3 linked regions of the Drosophila melanogaster genome follow. The protein of the gene in region 3 interacts with the protein of the main gene of each other region in a pairwise test. Each region holds a gene or a part of one and is shown on either strand. Other genes may lie near its edges. The genes, in order: CG6337, Tet and Cpn.

Evidence for each region.
Region 1: the proteins of Cpn (region 3) and CG6337 interact in a two-hybrid assay, tested with the Drosophila melanogaster proteins (one large-scale study listed by BioGRID).
Region 2: the proteins of Cpn (region 3) and Tet interact in a two-hybrid assay, tested with the Drosophila melanogaster proteins (one large-scale study listed by BioGRID).

What each region holds. Positions count from the first base shown.
Region 1 is NT_033778.4:13,832,783-13,838,309, reverse strand, and holds CG6337 (uncharacterized protein), read left to right. Parts: upstream 1-3,213; 5' UTR 3,214-3,247; coding exon 3,248-3,343; intron 3,344-3,463; coding exon 3,464-4,390; 3' UTR 4,391-4,735; downstream 4,736-5,527. Other genes in the region: CtsL2 (cathepsin L2), read right to left, coding at 263-591.
Region 2 is NT_037436.4:2,876,752-2,882,278, reverse strand, and holds the start of Tet (Ten-Eleven translocation (TET) family protein), read left to right. Parts: upstream 1-3,120; 5' UTR 3,121-3,746; intron 3,747-5,527. UniProt on the Drosophila melanogaster protein: Dioxygenase that specifically demethylates DNA methylated on the 6th position of adenine (N(6)-methyladenosine) DNA.
Region 3 is NT_033777.3:12,163,867-12,169,393, reverse strand, and holds the start of Cpn (calphotin), read left to right. Parts: upstream 1-3,207; 5' UTR 3,208-3,273; intron 3,274-3,720; 5' UTR 3,721-3,843; coding exon 3,844-5,527. UniProt on the Drosophila melanogaster protein: Plays important roles in both rhabdomere development and in photoreceptor cell survival. Might function as a calcium-sequestering 'sponge' to regulate the amount of free cytoplasmic calcium. It binds 0.3 mole of Ca(2+) per mole of protein.

The sequences.
Region 1 (5,527 bases), on a different chromosome or scaffold from region 3:
CGATATGGAAGGGTTTTGTTTGTTTCCACCCATTTGGTTATAGTTTTCGGGAAACCACAAACCTATGGTCGGAATATTTGATCAATTCTGATTTCTTGATTAGCATAACCGGGAAACCAATCGGCACCTACGTAACGTTACAAATCATATGGACGACGATACCGAAACCCGTTTGAAAGTTATAAGCTGGGTGATAATTCGTTTATGGCCAAAAAGGGGACTTCCCCCGAGCTCTAGATATGCGTAAGATGGTGCTACTTACTCGCCAAATTCGGAGATTTTGGAGCCCAGCAAGGTGGCTATCTCCTTTCTGGTCATGTCGGCCAGCGTATTGACGCCCAGCCGGAATCCGGACACGCCGTTGTCGGCGTTCTTATTGCTCAGCGTGATCAGCGACATCTTGGCCGCGAAGATGCTCTCGCGATAGACTCGCTCCTCATCCGAGTACACCTTGCCCGTCTGCCGGAGGAAGTCGTCGAAGTTTTGCACATCGCAGAGCTTGGGAAACGACTGCAGTTGCTGCAATGACACAGCACCCAGCAGGGCCAGTCCCAGCGTCATCTGCAGCCACATCGTTGAGCACATCCGCATCTGGAACGGTGGACAGCAGAGCGAGTGGAAAGCGTTAGGTAACCACTTGGCCAATACATAGTTACACCATCCCATCCCATCTCATCGCATCCCGCGACCCCTTTTCATGCCCCTTTTCTTGCCACATCTATCTGTCAACGTTAATCACTTGGCCGCAACTCGACCCGTTCATTCACCTCCAATCGAACCAACCTGCCGTGCAGATCGTGAAGTTTCCTATAAGTGGAGCCGCTATAAATATTTATTTATGGACATATTAAAAGCAACGTTGCTTCCTAGAAAATCTGCACAATTTGAAAACAGGCCACACTCAAAATCTATGCGTTTATTCGATATTAAAATGTTTATCCAGTAGATACTTTTTATTGGTAAATATTCAGTGGAGTGTCTTCATTGACATAAGAAATGATGTTATGTCTTTTTGAGTAATTTGAGTAAGTACAATGTTTGGCAAAACCAAAATAAAACAAAGAAACTAATAAATTGTTTGTTTAACAAGCTTGGTTTTGAAGAAACTAAACCGTTTAATGATCGCCTATGCAGAAATCAACATTGTTTCTAAGACAATCAAAAACATAATGATCGATTAAACGAATAAAAAACTAATTATTATTGGTTTTTTCTATCACGCTGACTATCCGCTTCTGTCAGCAATCGCGTTAATGGGTAATTAATCATGCGCTGTCTTAATTTCTCAACTTTATTCGATCTTACCAAATTAAATAGACTTTTGAAACTAGCAGAGCATTCGCTGTTCGTATTTCCGGTCTGTTTTACGAATTCGATCACCGATGAGACGTGAATAATTACTGGGTGAATGAGCTAATTTGCATATGCTTAGCATAATTACATTAGTGCAAGCATTCGATTCGGATGAATTTCGAAATGTATGAATGATTTCGCGGCTTCGTCTCTCCTTTTATTTCCTCAGCTCCCAAATTGGCTCCATCGAGGGCCCAAATAAATCAAAATCAAATCTAGATTAGGCAACCGCAGGCTAAGATTTCACTTTCGTTGCCATAAAATACTGATCACATGCTGTGCCCGGTGAAAGGCGATGGATTCCCCTGTTTAAAATCAAATTTCGAGTCGAATGTAAGCAATTGCAGTTCTCTTGTCTTCGACGGACCATTATGAATCGAAAAATAACAACACACACGACACAATATGTTGAAAAGATCGACTTAATCACCTTTTATGGATATCTGGGAATGATATGTTCAAAACACCTTCCGCGTTCACAAATCACAAAACTATTCGAAGATGCTGAAGACTCGAAGACCGGCGAGATTATAAGCGGCGCTCGACCCGCACACCTTGGTTTTATAGAGTCTGGAGCTGGACCGTGGGACATATGGCCAAAACTGGATGGGCCACCAATTTGAAACTTTTGGAATACCGACAAGAGCATATTCATCTTCATTTCGACGGGCTATCTGGTTTATGGGTCTATAGCTGTCTCCATTATATGCATGCTTAGTAATTGTCGATTGCCTAATGTGTTGGTGGCTATAACAACGCATATTAACTCATTTGAAACAAAAGAGAAAATAGTCAAACATGTTTTTAAATAGTTAATAATTGATGAGATCGAAGTCACAGTTGTAGCGCCTATAGGATTACAAATTTCAATGCAGCAAGCAAAGTTTTAGGAAAGTTTTTAAAGCGTCTCTAAGTAGTTTGTACTATTATATCCCTTGTAAATAAATAACACTTTGATTTTTATGTAAATAATACAATTACAGAATGATAAAGATGCAGACGGATGAATAATGGTCTCGACTTTCAATAACTATAAATTGAAATTGAACCATGAAGAGATTGATTAGTGGCCAATTTATTTGCATTTCAATTAACAGATTCGTGGAATCTGAATTTGTTGTTGCGTCTACTAAAAAGTTCATTGACTGCTGAAATCCCTTATGGACTTACCTACATATTTGCAAAATTTCAAGATGATCCCTCATTACTACTTCGAATATATACTACCTGTAGTATATGCTAGACTACCGCAATGGAAATTACCAAACAACTCACTTAGCACTTGGTTTACAGCAATTTGGCCAAGTCTTCCAACGGGCCTATCTATCTATCTGTCTATGTATCTTTCCATCTACGTATCTATCTATCAACGCTGTTGCAACTTTTATGGGCGCCACAAAGTATGACTGTGATTAATCATGCCTGCGCTGAAGACAAAACCTGAAGACTAAACGATAAGTTGGCATTAGAGGGGCGTTTACGATGCTCCATGGGCATATGGGCTTGGGTGTTTTTTTCTGAACTGGGCCAGTGGGGATTTCGAATTAACAGAGATACGAGAACCCACCGCCGAATCGCAACGATACGAAACGGGGCATTTGACAAGTTTATTGGGCAAACAAAGCGCACCCCGACTTTTCCTACCAACGTCGGCTTATCGAGGAGACCCAACCCGGAATATGAATACTACGGATAGTACGTTTGAGTGCTGCTGGCCAAGTGCGAATTCAAGGCCTCGTAGAAATCTACGAGTATTTGCACTTTTCTTGCGAAAGTAAGTCGCTTTGGTAAACTTCTATTTGCGTTTGCAATCAGAAGGAGAGTTTGCCGGTGCCTATAAAAGATCGTTCCATGGTTCTGGCGGCATTAGTTGGTGCGGATTTGGGTTTTCGTCATGTTCAAGTTGCTACTTTGCTGCCTTCTACTAACCATCGACAGTGGATGGGCCTTTAATCATGGCCAGGATCTAGTGGACTTTCAAACTTACGAGGTATGTGAGTCATCAAGAAAACAAAGTCTGGATGGGATTTAATTAGAAATTATATCTTGTATCTTATGGCATTGAAAAGGATTGTATTGAGTAATGGAATTCAAATCTTTCCATTTACAGGACAATTTCAACAAGACCTATGCCTCAACTTCGGCTCGCAACTTCGCCAACTACTACTTCATCTACAACCGCAACCAGGTGGCGCAGCACAATGCCCAGGCCGATAGGAATCGCACCACCTACCGCGAGGCAGTGAATCAGTTCTCGGACATCCGGCTCATCCAGTTCGCAGCCCTGCTGCCCAAAGCCGTGAATACGGTGACCTCGGCGGCCAGTGATCCACCGGCCAGTCAAGCGGCATCTGCCAGCTTTGACATTATCACGGATTTCGGACTCACCGTGGCGGTGGAGGATCAGGGCGTGAACTGCAGCAGTAGTTGGGCCTATGCCACCGCCAAGGCCGTGGAGATCATGAATGCCGTGCAGACAGCCAATCCTCTGCCCTCGTCCTTGTCCGCCCAGCAGCTGCTGGACTGTGCGGGCATGGGCACCGGATGCAGCACCCAGACGCCCCTGGCTGCCCTCAACTATCTCACCCAGCTGACAGATGCGTATCTCTATCCGGAGGTGGACTATCCGAATAACAATAGCCTGAAAACGCCGGGTATGTGCCAGCCCCCATCCTCTGTGTCAGTGGGCGTGAAGTTGGCCGGCTATTCCACGGTGGCCGACAACGATGATGCCGCCGTAATGCGTTACGTATCGAATGGATTCCCCGTCATAGTCGAGTACAATCCGGCTACCTTTGGATTCATGCAGTACTCCAGTGGCGTCTATGTCCAGGAGACGCGTGCCCTGACCAATCCAAAGAGCTCACAGTTCCTGGTGGTCGTGGGCTACGATCACGACGTGGACTCCAATCTGGACTACTGGCGCTGCCTGAACTCCTTCGGCGACACGTGGGGCGAGGAGGGTTACATCAGGATCGTGCGCAGGTCCAATCAGCCCATTGCCAAGAATGCCGTCTTTCCCAGTGCGCTTGCCTAAGAAGGATTCCGATTTGACCTTATTTCAAGTTAATAAACTTAAGTTTTATGTGTAAATTTTTATATGATGATTTTGTTTCGGATTCAGTAGATGCTGTAAGTTCTTTAAAAAAACTTAATGCTAGTAAGCAATACTATTATTATTATTATAGACGCATTATCTTTAAATCAACTAGAATTCGAGTAACAGATTCGGGAATATCTATAATAACACTATGATGATACCTTAAGAGTGTGCCTATCTATATCTATGATAGTTCATAGAATAGAAGAATAGTAATAGAACCATCCAAGAAATAGATTTGGGAATATCTCAAATAAAGCTAAGATAATTCATCGAGATCTTGAATATTACATAAAGAGTAATCTTGAAAAAAAATCCCCCGTCTTCTACCAAAAAGTATCGTTTGGTTTTTTGTTGTGAAAGCTTACAGCTTTTTTGTCTCCATTTATTGAATTTACCATTTTATTTAGTTTATTTATTGATTTTTCATCTACAAGCGGAGCTTTACAGACTTAAATGCTAAAAATTAACAAGTTCACTTTATTTTCTTTTCTTTTCTTGTTTTTCGCATCTTTGATCTGCTTATGGATTTTATACTATTATCTTTGCAGTGTTTTCTTTTTCTGTTATGTTTCTCTTGCATAATAAATAAGTTTCCCATTTTGTTGCTATCCGTGTTGCTGTGATATAAAAACGAAAGGAAATTATATAGATATATATAATATTTAGGTATTATATTTATGGTTATAGAATATTCGACTCAGCCAGCGCAGACAAAAGCTTCTTTTTTTTGGTGTGTGTTCTTTCTGTAGATTTCTTAATCTTAGTTCTCGTAAATTTTTTAAGTTTCAGTAACTTGTTTGGAAACGTTGTTATTATAAATACTTCTCGTTATTATATTTCAATTGCGTTAAATAATTTGAAATATATGTATGTACGTTGTGTTTGCATTTTGTTTTGTTTTAGTTTAGGTTTTTAGTTTTTAGTTTTTATTTTTGGTTTAGAATGTCTTCCCGTCTTCTTGTGAAGCAAAGCTCAATGATATGATTCACGCTGAAAGGTGATTTAACGATTTTTATTATTTCAATAATTTTGCAGTTTATAAAGATTGCGTGATCTTGTGTTTTATTAGGT
Region 2 (5,527 bases), on a different chromosome or scaffold from region 3:
TAAAGGTGAAACTGTTGCAATTAGGGTTTAAGGGGAAAATTATAAAAATAAGTTTGCAATACAGCAAATTCGAATGTTTTGTTAAATTAATCCATTTCATCATCATTGAAATTAATATAAAATTCATGTTCCATAAACAAATATCTAAGCACATCGAACTATTATTTTCTATAAAATGAGCCAGCTCCAAATTTGATTTTGCCAGTGAAACTTTTTGGGTTGCAGGCTCCTCTAAGGACGGTCAATATCCATATTGCCCCCTACCCACCCCTCTCCTTTTAAAATCCCTTGAAAACCCAACAACTACAACAAGAACAACAGCAACAGCAGTGAGCAGCTGAAGTTTCTGGCAGTCGAACAACACCAGTAGAGGCGGTCAGAAAGAGAGGGCATCACTGGCGGCTGCTTGGCAACCGAATCGCGAGTGAAAGAGATGTCCTGCTGATGACGAGCAGTGCAGAATGCGGCATCAAAAGCAACAACAGCAACAACAAGTCAGAAGCAGCAACAATGCAGCGGCAGCGCTGCCAGCTTAGGCGTTGTTGCTGTTGTTGTGCGTTGTGTATAAAAATTTAACATCTGCTCCTTTCATGATTTCAGTTTCGGAAAACTCAAAACTCGTACAACAACGAGGGCTGTAATGGCACAAATAAAAATATATATGTATGCATCTGTGCGGAGTGTCTATCCCTCTCTTTCGCTCCGGGTATGCCCCTCTCTTTCTAGCGGCTTGTTGTTGCTGTTAATGCATTTGGCTTGCTTTACTCGTATTACGTGTGCATTTGCCACTCCGAACTAAAAAAAAAAAAAAAAACGAAGAAAACATTGAGATACTCGGATGCTGAGATACCGAGATACTCTGGAAATGCTCCTTTGGAGCTGTAAGTTGATAAAAAACCGGCGGCCAACTGGCGGATTTTAAACGGAATGAAATAAATTAAAACGTGGCGAGGAAATGCAGCCACAGGATGCTGTAGTCCTGCTGGGTGTGCCATGCATCTTATGGTGCATTCAACTTCAGCCAGTGATTTTCACTCTTCTTCAGCGTTTGCCCTTGGAGAAGTTAGTCTGAATACACGCTGGGTACATGGAATCGATCTAGGAGATGGCTGCACTTGAAGTTGTAGTTAAAAAATAAGCTAAATTTTATTTTAATATTCTTATAATCAACCTTATTGGCTAACATATCTCAACGTGCATTCGTTCCTACACATTTGCAAGCATTTTATATGATTAAAAGGTATACATACTTGAAATTGGCTAATAAATCTTACCCCTGTTTTCAGTGTATTACATTTATCATTTTTTTTTTTTTTTTTTTTTAATATTTTATTTTTCTATTCATGTTCTGTGCGCACATTTCATTCATTTTTCAAATACTTCTGCAGCACCAACTGTCAGATACATTTCTGGTTTCCTTTGCCGCACGTCTTTTTATTGTGGCTGCTTGCAGTGTGAATGTCCTTTGCTGTCCTCACAAAGGACACGCAAAAGCCAAATAAGAGCGAAAAAAGTAGAAAAAAACGCAAAGAGCGGAATGCAGAAGAACGAAGAGAGACTTGCAGCAGCTTCGAGTGCAGAAAACCCAACTATGAAGAACTTGTCTGCGGATCGTGAACTTAAGAACTATCTAAGAGGAGAAAAGGCCGGCTGCATTTTGTTGTTTGTGCAGATGTTTCTTCGAGGTTCCTCGAGGGATTTTATGGGTATGCGTTGCGTATGGGACAGGTCAGTGTTCGGAGGATTCGGATTCAGATTGAGATTCGGTTCCGGAGGATTCGAAGTCGGTTAAGGGTTGTGCCCCTAGGTTGAATGATTTTCCATTACGCAATGCAAATAGACAGCAGCGTTCCGCGTACTCGCTTTGTTTTGTTATTTTCTCTGTCAGCGCCAGGCAACAATGCAACTGTCAAGGTTTCCATTTTCCGCCGTGGATTGCTCTCTATGAAATGGCGAAAAAATGGCAGCTCCACTAATAGTTGGCATGAAACGAGGTTGCAACAGGACCGCCACGAGAAAAAAGTGAAATGAAATCAACCGCCCCCGCTCTTTGCGCAAAAGTAAAAAAGGGGCAAAACATGGCAGGCAAATTGTACCAAAATCCCGCAACGGCAGCCAGTGCAATGCCAGGATATATGGCACATGCCCACAAGGTCCTGCCTCCGTGTCCTGCGTCCAGCGCAGCAGTGGCAGCAACAGCACCGCAGCAACGTCCACGGCACCGCAGCAACAGCAGCGGGAAAGTAAAACTTATTCGGCTGGTCGAACTGCGAATGCCCTGAATTTCGAAACACATTTTGCGAGCTTATCTATTCTGATAAAATTGTAAATAAATCAATAAACTATACGCCAATTACCATATAATGCATGCTTGAATTCAATGTGCTTAATTGCTAAGTAAGCTAAGTAAGCTCCTTGGTTAGGGTATCAAAACAAAGGCAGCAGAAAATATCTCGTAGCGCACATAGATTGCAAGTTCGCATTGTGAGCGCGAAACTAGGGAAAAAAATTTTTAATTGGAACAACAACTGTACAGCGGCGCAGCAGCAGCAACAACAACAAAAGCGCACTTCAAACGCCGCATGTTCGTATCCGTGTCTTGTTGCAGCTGTGTGTGTGTGTGTGTGTGCTTGTGTGTTAATGAAAGAGAGAGGATGCAGCCGTAAATGTAACTGTGTGCGTGCGGCTGTGTGTTTGTGTGTGTGTGCCAGGACTCTCGAGCCAAAAGTTGCAGGCGCAACAGCAACAAGCAGCAGTTCGAAGTTAAATATTTAAGAATTTACAAAACTTTTTAGGGAACATAAAAATAAATACAAATTTCAAAACGAAAGAATCTTGCTCTTCATCTTTTAATGATGGTCAAACTGAAAAATAATATATTTTACGAATGACTAATAAGCACAAAAATAAATTAAAAATCATTTCTTAAAAATGCTTAAGTATTGAATGAATTATACAATATAAAACCGCTAGTTAAGAGAATTCGGTCGTCATGCTTGTTGTATTCTTAAGTTCGAGTGGAGCCCGCATTGGTTCGATGCGAACATGAACCTGTTCGCTTCGAGCACGAACTTGTTCGATACATTTTATGTTTGCTCCTTCATTTTCATTTTCATTTTCAGTTCAGTTAGTTCAGTTGTTGTGTATCCTTCGGGTGAAAAGTTTCCTACAAAACACGGACTTTTGCACCGCCGCCGCCGTTCGAGCGCTAGAAACGAGTGCGAGTGCGTGTGAGACTTACTAGCTAACTAACTGATTCTGATTCTGATTTTCGGGAATATACTATCCCTTCGGTGTGGGTGTGATCGAGTTCAAGGACTCGCGACTAACTTGTTCCAGTTTCGAAAACAGGCAGCCCCAAATAATGTGACCAATGTGACCAGTGAATTAGAATATCCAAGAGCAAAACAAAATCAAGAACTCCCGCAGATGCCGCACTTGCAGCTCCAAGTTCTTCAGCTTTTCATCCAAGTCCCGGTTTAATTTGCAGCTCCAGTTTCGCGCTCGGTTCTCTGGGTTTCCCTGCAATTTCCGCGATTTCCTTCTTTTGTTCCCTTCGTTCCGTTTTCGCGTCGCGGTTTGTTATTGTCAACTTTCGTTTTCGTGCGGTTTTTCGCGGCTTTTCTAACGGTCCAACGACGGTCGGCAAATGGATAGTGAAACTGGCTTGGATTTCCAATAGCTTCTAAGTACTCAACATTTTCCGAGGAAAAAAACTCGTGAAAGGACATGGATTAACAACTAAGGTTTGTAGTAGGGATTTAACAATATACATATATTTAAGTATATATAAATCGGGATGCTTTATGTATACCTTTTATCTATATATAACTATTCTGCGTATATAATCATTTTATTTGTGGTACCAAAGAAAATTAAATAAATGGTTTTTTTTTTTCATTAATTAAGCATAGCCATCAAACAAAAAGACAAATAGCCGCATACAGAACATAACTAACTCTTTGAAAACGAATCGTAAGGAACGTTTCCAAGAAACCAAACAGAATGGCCATATCCCTTTCATAAAACCGACTCCAATTAATAAAGCCAATTGAGCAAATGTATAAAAATGTTGAGCTCCAATCAAATATAAAACTCTACGCTTTTGTTCCTAATCCCTCAATTAAACTCACCTCTCGACCGAAAGCCAAAGAAAAACAAATTTCCAATTGAAATTTGCATTTGGGGCACAGGAAATACTTTCCAAGCGTAAACATGTAAACAAAGAGATAACAATTGTTATTGGTCATCCGAGGATCAAATTACAATAAGTGCAAGCTCAAAGAAGACCCAAAAAACAAAATCACAATCACCTAAGCAGGCAATTTCAGCGAGCTTTATTTGTGCAAGACAAATAAACAAAATAAAATAATAATATTACAGTAAAGGCAGAGGCTTCTCTTTTTGGACCGCAAACACTTATGGCAATGAGTAATGACTTTTAAAAGAAGAACTGTTTCTGATAGATACATTTTGCGTTTGTCTTAGCGCCAACTTAAATTAAAAAGCAGCGGGCTCTGAACTTCTTCTGGTTGTGAAGAGTTGAGCCGAGGCCCTGAAAACGTGCCAGAAAGCGACACACAGAGATACAAAGATACAGATACTCGTAACTAACAGTAACGTGCGTACATCTTCAAGATACTTTTTGGCGCGCTCAGAACAGAAGCGCCGAAAACAGAAAATAAAACAAGGAGAGTACATGGGAACGAGAAGCACAACAGAAAGCGAAAAGCTAAGAACACAGAAGGAGATACTTGTGCTCCTACAAGATACAGCTACAGATACAGATACATGGCAATAAAGAGAATTTAAAGAAAGATAAATAATAAAACCAAACAAATTGAGGCGCAGGCCGCGAAAGAAGTTCAAGTTCAGCGAATGTATCTCCGTGCCAGTATCTGTATCTGTTGGATGCAATTTGTCGGCCGCCTGCAAGTTTATTACCGTCTTACCCCCAATGAATCTATATATAGCTGCCATATTTTGTTTACAATTTTCCGCCGCCCACGATTCATTCATAAAACACATCAGCCCAAAATAAAAGTTGGCAAAAGGACACGCAGGCAAATTAAGGCTTTGACCTAGAGAAAAATAAACAACACCCAGGATATAACCCCTGCCCCCGTCCTCCCCCCCTCCACACACTCGTTAACAGTAACGTGCGTGACTTTGAAAGCAGGCAAGGCAAATGACAAACTCGTAAATCTCAACACACTCACGGGAAGTGGGTGGTGCGTTTTTTTTTTTGGGATGTGGGTGAAAATGCGAGGCATAAGTGCCCCTACTCCCATTCATATACGCTTAATACTCAGCCGCGTATGCCTGTCCATGGACTCCTTGCATGGCTTCATTGGGCCCCACAGCACGTTTCATTTCATCCACACCTGCACCGCCGCACCACTCCGCGCACAACCCATCCCCACACCCAAACACCCAAACACCAATACCGCCAAGCTTCGGCACAACTCAATTTGCACGTGACACAACGAGGAACGAGATGTGGAGCAGGCACTGCCAGGCGAATTAA
Region 3 (5,527 bases):
CTGAAAGGCGTTAAGCATTTCGATTGAATAATGGATTCAATTTTGTCCCATAATTTAAAGCTAGCTATACCTTAAATGTTCTATTAAATTTTATCTTTCTCTGAAAGTTAACATATGAAAATGGAGTATATAAAAAGAAAAATGTAAAATATTTACTAACCATGCCCTCAAATCGTAAGTCTATTAAGCTGACAACTCAACTAGAAAACCCGTTCACATCCTTAAACAGATTAAACACTTATCACCAAGTGCTTTAAGTGTCAAGTCCTTGGAATTTTGCCACTATGGAAATTTTGAAAAATCATTAAAGTGGCTGGAGTATTTCTCAAAAGTTAATTGATCCAAATTGTTGTTTTGTTTTTTGTTTGTTCAATATTTCATATTTTACTTGCCATTGCTGTTGATACAGTGTGTACGTGCGTGCCATTCGATTTGTGTTTGTTATGTGCTTTGCATAATTTAACACTTTGCCTTAAAAACAATCAAATTGTCAAGTGTCAAAAGTTCGTGTCGGCCCAGAATATTCCTCCGCTCAACTGGGCTCTGTTTGTGCTGCCATGTAAATGTAAATAAAAATGCATTAAAAATGTAGCTGTAATTTACACACTCACACTTTCCAGGGAGGTGAAAATAGCCTGAAAAGTGGGTGGGGGTAGCGACCGTAAGTGGGTGCTTGTGTGCAATATTTTGCATTTGCCTGCCAGTTTTTCCGGTTTGCTCTGACCACAAAGTGTTGGCCATTAACCGAGCGCAGTCTGAGCCACCCGCTGGGCCATATCATGTTTATGCCGCACGCTTCGAGAATAAGAATGTTCATGGAAAGTGTCGGATCTACTAGTTTGCACGGAGAAGAGAGAAATGTTTAAACAATAATAATATATATATTTAATGAATATTTTCCTCTTTATTATTTAATTGATTTATAGTTTGCAGCATGCACTCCGCATAAACGCAGTAACAGACACTTTCCCAGGGAAGCGGAAAGGCAGGCTGACGCGTGTTAATTTGAATAAATTATTAAAGCACGTGATGAGCGCGACCTTTCAACCAATTGGGGCAACTACCAGCCATCACCCACACTACCGCCCCCACCAATCCCAATTGGATGGTCGAAAACACACCAACCAGCCCACCCCCCGCAAGCCAAGTGCAATTAAGCACGAAAAAACCAATCAAACTGGAAATAAATTGCGCCATAGTTGCAGCAGCCACACAGCGACCAGGGTTGCCATACGGCGCCGATTTTTGCGAATTTTTTTTGCCTAGCCAGCACTTTGTGTGCCCCTTCTGCGTGTGGGTGTTTTGGGTTTTTTGCGTTCGCCGGGGGTTTCCCTTTTTATTGTGGCCGCTGGGTGAAAATTGTTTGCATTGCATTCTCTGCTGATGCATGCGAATTGAGAAATATTTGCAATTTAGCAAAATACACCCGGAAGCGGCTCCGGATTGAAGCTTGAGCTCCTTTTGCCACATTTCGCAATTTCGATTTTCGCCCCGCATTTGTATTCATATTTGTATTTGGTTTTTCCAATCGCACACGGGCCCGACTTTCCACACTCTTACAGTGCGTGCAAAATGACGGCAATTAGGTGTATACGCTGCGCTGATTTATGTTTTTTTTTTTTTTTTGTAGTTGATCGCCTCACCTTCGAAAATAGCCAGGAATGCAATATCCATTGTTTCAGGGAATGGATTTCATCCGAGTATTGTTTTTCGGTATAAAACATTGTTTGAGAAATATTTGTAAAATATGACAAAAACTTCTATTCTATTGCTGGCAATTACAATTTGAGATCACTCATCAGTGACCACAGATTCGAAGAAAATCAAATGTATTTGTTGAGGTACGCAAACTCCTTCGCAGCTCAGATCAATTGTCGAGTTCAGTGATGCAGGAGGAGATAGAATAAAGTATAAATACAATTTGTATGCTTGATGTAATTTCATTTCCACTTATCTTGGTATTTTCTCTGCATTTTGCTTCATGCGATTGATTTATCGCACAGAAAATAATAGGCAGCCAATGTCTGTGCATCCTGTGAAAGGACTCGCTCTCGGCCTTCCAAGCATTCAATCCCTGAGCCGGGTTCAGTTTATATTCAAATGCTTACGCTTAAATGTCAATAATACGTGAAATTGAACTGCCAATTCAATCTTCACAACTACTCCGCATCGCTCCTCCACTTCTCCAGTGAAATCATTTCCATATAAGCGTTTTCCCATCTCGTCTATTTATATATATGTATGTATTTCTTTTCTTTTCGTTCGCAACTCTTTTTATTTTCCATCCTGCGAGAAAAATTCTTTCTGTTCATATGTGGAAAAACTATTTGCAAAAGTCTCAAGTGTGCTCGGTTCCCGGCCAGCAGAGGGGCAAGTGAGGCGAAGGTGTAGGTGGACGTGTTGGTGTTGGACTTTTTAAAACGACGCCTGCAAATTGTACGCAGATCACATTACACTTGCTCCAACGGACGGCATGTGCAACTGCCGGCTGCCTCTGTGGATTGCTTTACATTTGGCTGCACTTCCTACCCGGCATTCACTCGAAAAATTGAAAGATTTATTTCTTAGTTCTTTGCGATTACATTTCCACCGAGCTAATGTGTTCCGATCCAACGGCTACGTAGTGGCAGTTTGTCAACTGTCATTGCATCAGACATTGAATGGGCCACGATAGCAAATGGATTGTGGAGGGTCGGGTGAGGGCGGGGCAGTGCGGGGCAGCGCGGGAACCTGTCGCATTTTGTTGACAACTACATTGCAAATACGGCAAAGTAATCAGTATTGTGTAAATAACCAGTTATGTGTCTGCGAGTGCAGCTGACAAAGCGAGTGGTAAGCGATATGCACTGGATCGCGAATAAATTCTTGAAAGCGTTTCCCCGATTTATCTACCCGATGCATTTGGCAAGATGCGAACGGAATCGATAATCGAATAATATGCGAATATCACTCATACGCAGTGGTGGGCGCCAACGCATGTAGCACACTTTTCAGCGCCAAATGTTTCCTCGTGCGAGCCGGAACAAATTTAATATGTGGCTAAGGTCAGCTGATAAGCACCTTAGTGTCTGGGAATTGGAAAAACGCAAAAAGCACTTGAAACTATGCGTATACTTTCTGCGCTCAATGGGCAGTTGTCGGACTTCTGACCGAAGGTAAACCAATGAAAAGAGGTAAAAATGTCCAAGAAAACTGAGTCAACGGGCCAGTTAAACACCGTTTTTCTCATCGGCAAGTCGGTCGCTGTTTAAAACTATTCAACAAATTAAATTGGTTAATAATATTGAAAATATTCAAAAGGATTGACTTACCTAAGAGGCAGTTCCTAATAGTTGACCATTTCATTGCTGACCGCTTATTTTCGAATTTTTGAACGAAATTGTGCAAGTGCCTTGTTTTCTCTTACATAATTTAGCAACTACAGTTTTGTAAAAGAAAAATATATTTCGAATAGACGTCAGAAGCAAGAGACTAGTTAACTCAATTGCTCTTACTTTTACTTCTCATGTAGTGAAGACAATTCTAATCTCATTTAATCAATGTAATTTTATTGTATAGATATTTGAATCAGTATTTTCCGGAGAACTTTTATTCTTATTTTTCTCATTCTTACGTGGTTTCTCATCGATTTAATTTTATTTAAGACAATGGCCTAAATCATGGTCAGATCCAGCCTTGCCATGTCTCATGTTTTTCTCGTTTTCATTCCTCTGTTTTCAGTTGTCTTCTGACCATGAAAAGCTGGCCATGAAACATTTTTGCAACTAAGCATTGGACAAGGCACAATCCGCCCAAAAGGAAAAAACGGATTAACTTTTATGTGAAAGTGGGCAAAGGATAGACATGGAACCAGGAACCATTCCATCGCCTGTTTCAGCACCAGTTGCTGCGCCTGTGACGCCATCAGCAGTGGCTGCCCCTGTCCAAGTAGTAAGTCCTGCGGCAGTGGCTCCCGCACCAGCGGCACCGATTGCAGTCACTCCAGTTGCTCCACCGCCCACCCTTGCAAGTGTGCAACCGGCAACAGTTACTATTCCAGCTCCAGCTCCAATTGCTGCCGCATCCGTCGCTCCTGTCGCATCTGTGGCGCCTCCAGTTGTTGCAGCTCCAACTCCGCCGGCAGCAAGTCCAGTTTCAACACCACCCGTTGCTGTTGCTCAGATTCCGGTCGCTGTTTCAGCACCAGTGGCACCTCCCGTTGCTGCAACACCCACTCCTGTTGCCCCAATTCCTGTAGCTGCGCCTGTGATAGCGACACCACCTGTTGCTGCCTCTGCCCCCACTCCGGCTGCCGTGACTCCCGTTGTTTCGCCTGTGATCGCCACACCACCTGTGGTTCCCGCTAACACCACGGTTCCCGTTGCAGCACCTGTAGCTGCTGTACCAGCTGCTGTTCCTGTTGTTGCCCCAGTTCTTGCGCCTGCCGTTGCTCCTGCAGTTGCCCCCGTCGTCGCCGAGACTCCAGCTCCACCACCTGTTGCTGAGATTCCGGTTGCAACCATACCGGAGTGCGTTGCACCTCTCATCCCCGAGGTTTCCGTCGTGGCAACGAAACCACTAGCTGCAGCTGAGCCAGTGGTCGTTGCTCCACCGGCTACTGAAACCCCAGTCGTTGCTCCGGCTGCAGCTTCCCCCCATGTGTCGGTTGCACCAGCTGTGGAGACCGCAGTGGTCGCTCCTGTAAGTGCTTCGACTGAGCCCCCGGTAGCTGCTGCGACTCTAACAACTGCACCAGAAACGCCAGCCCTTGCTCCAGTCGTTGCCGAGTCCCAAGTTGCTGCGAATACTGTTGTAGCTACACCTCCTACTCCAGCCCCAGAGCCAGAAACCATTGCACCACCTGTTGTTGCAGAAACCCCAGAAGTTGCTTCAGTTGCTGTTGCTGAGACAACACCACCCGTTGTACCTCCTGTGGCCGCAGAATCAATACCAGCGCCAGTCGTTGCCACGACACCAGTTCCTGCAACACTAGCAGTAACGGATCCGGATGTCACTGCATCTGCTGTTCCCGAATTACCTCCGGTGATCGCTCCATCACCCGTTCCTAGTGCTGTTGCTGAAACTCCTGTCGACTTAGCGCCACCTGTTCTCCCTCCTGTGGCTGCCGAACCTGTACCAGCTGTAGTGGCTGAAGAAACTCCTGAGACACCAGCACCAGCATCAGCACCAGTGACCATAGCAGCTTTAGATATACCAGAAGTTGCTCCTGTGATCGCCGCACCCTCTGATGCACCTGCTGAAGCTCCGTCTGCCGCTGCTCCCATCGTTTCTACTCCACCAACTACGGCTTCTGTTCCCGAGACCACGGCACCACCTGCGGCAGTGCCTACGGAACCTATCGATGTTTCTGTACTATCAGAAGCTGCCATTGAAACGCCAGTTGCACCGCCTGTCGAAGTTACAACAGAAGTTGCAGTTGCAGACGTTGCTCCACCTGAGGCAGCTGCGGATTTAATAATCGAGCCTGTGGAACCACCAGCTCCTATTCCGGATTTATTAGAACAAACTACATCCGTGCCAGCTGTTG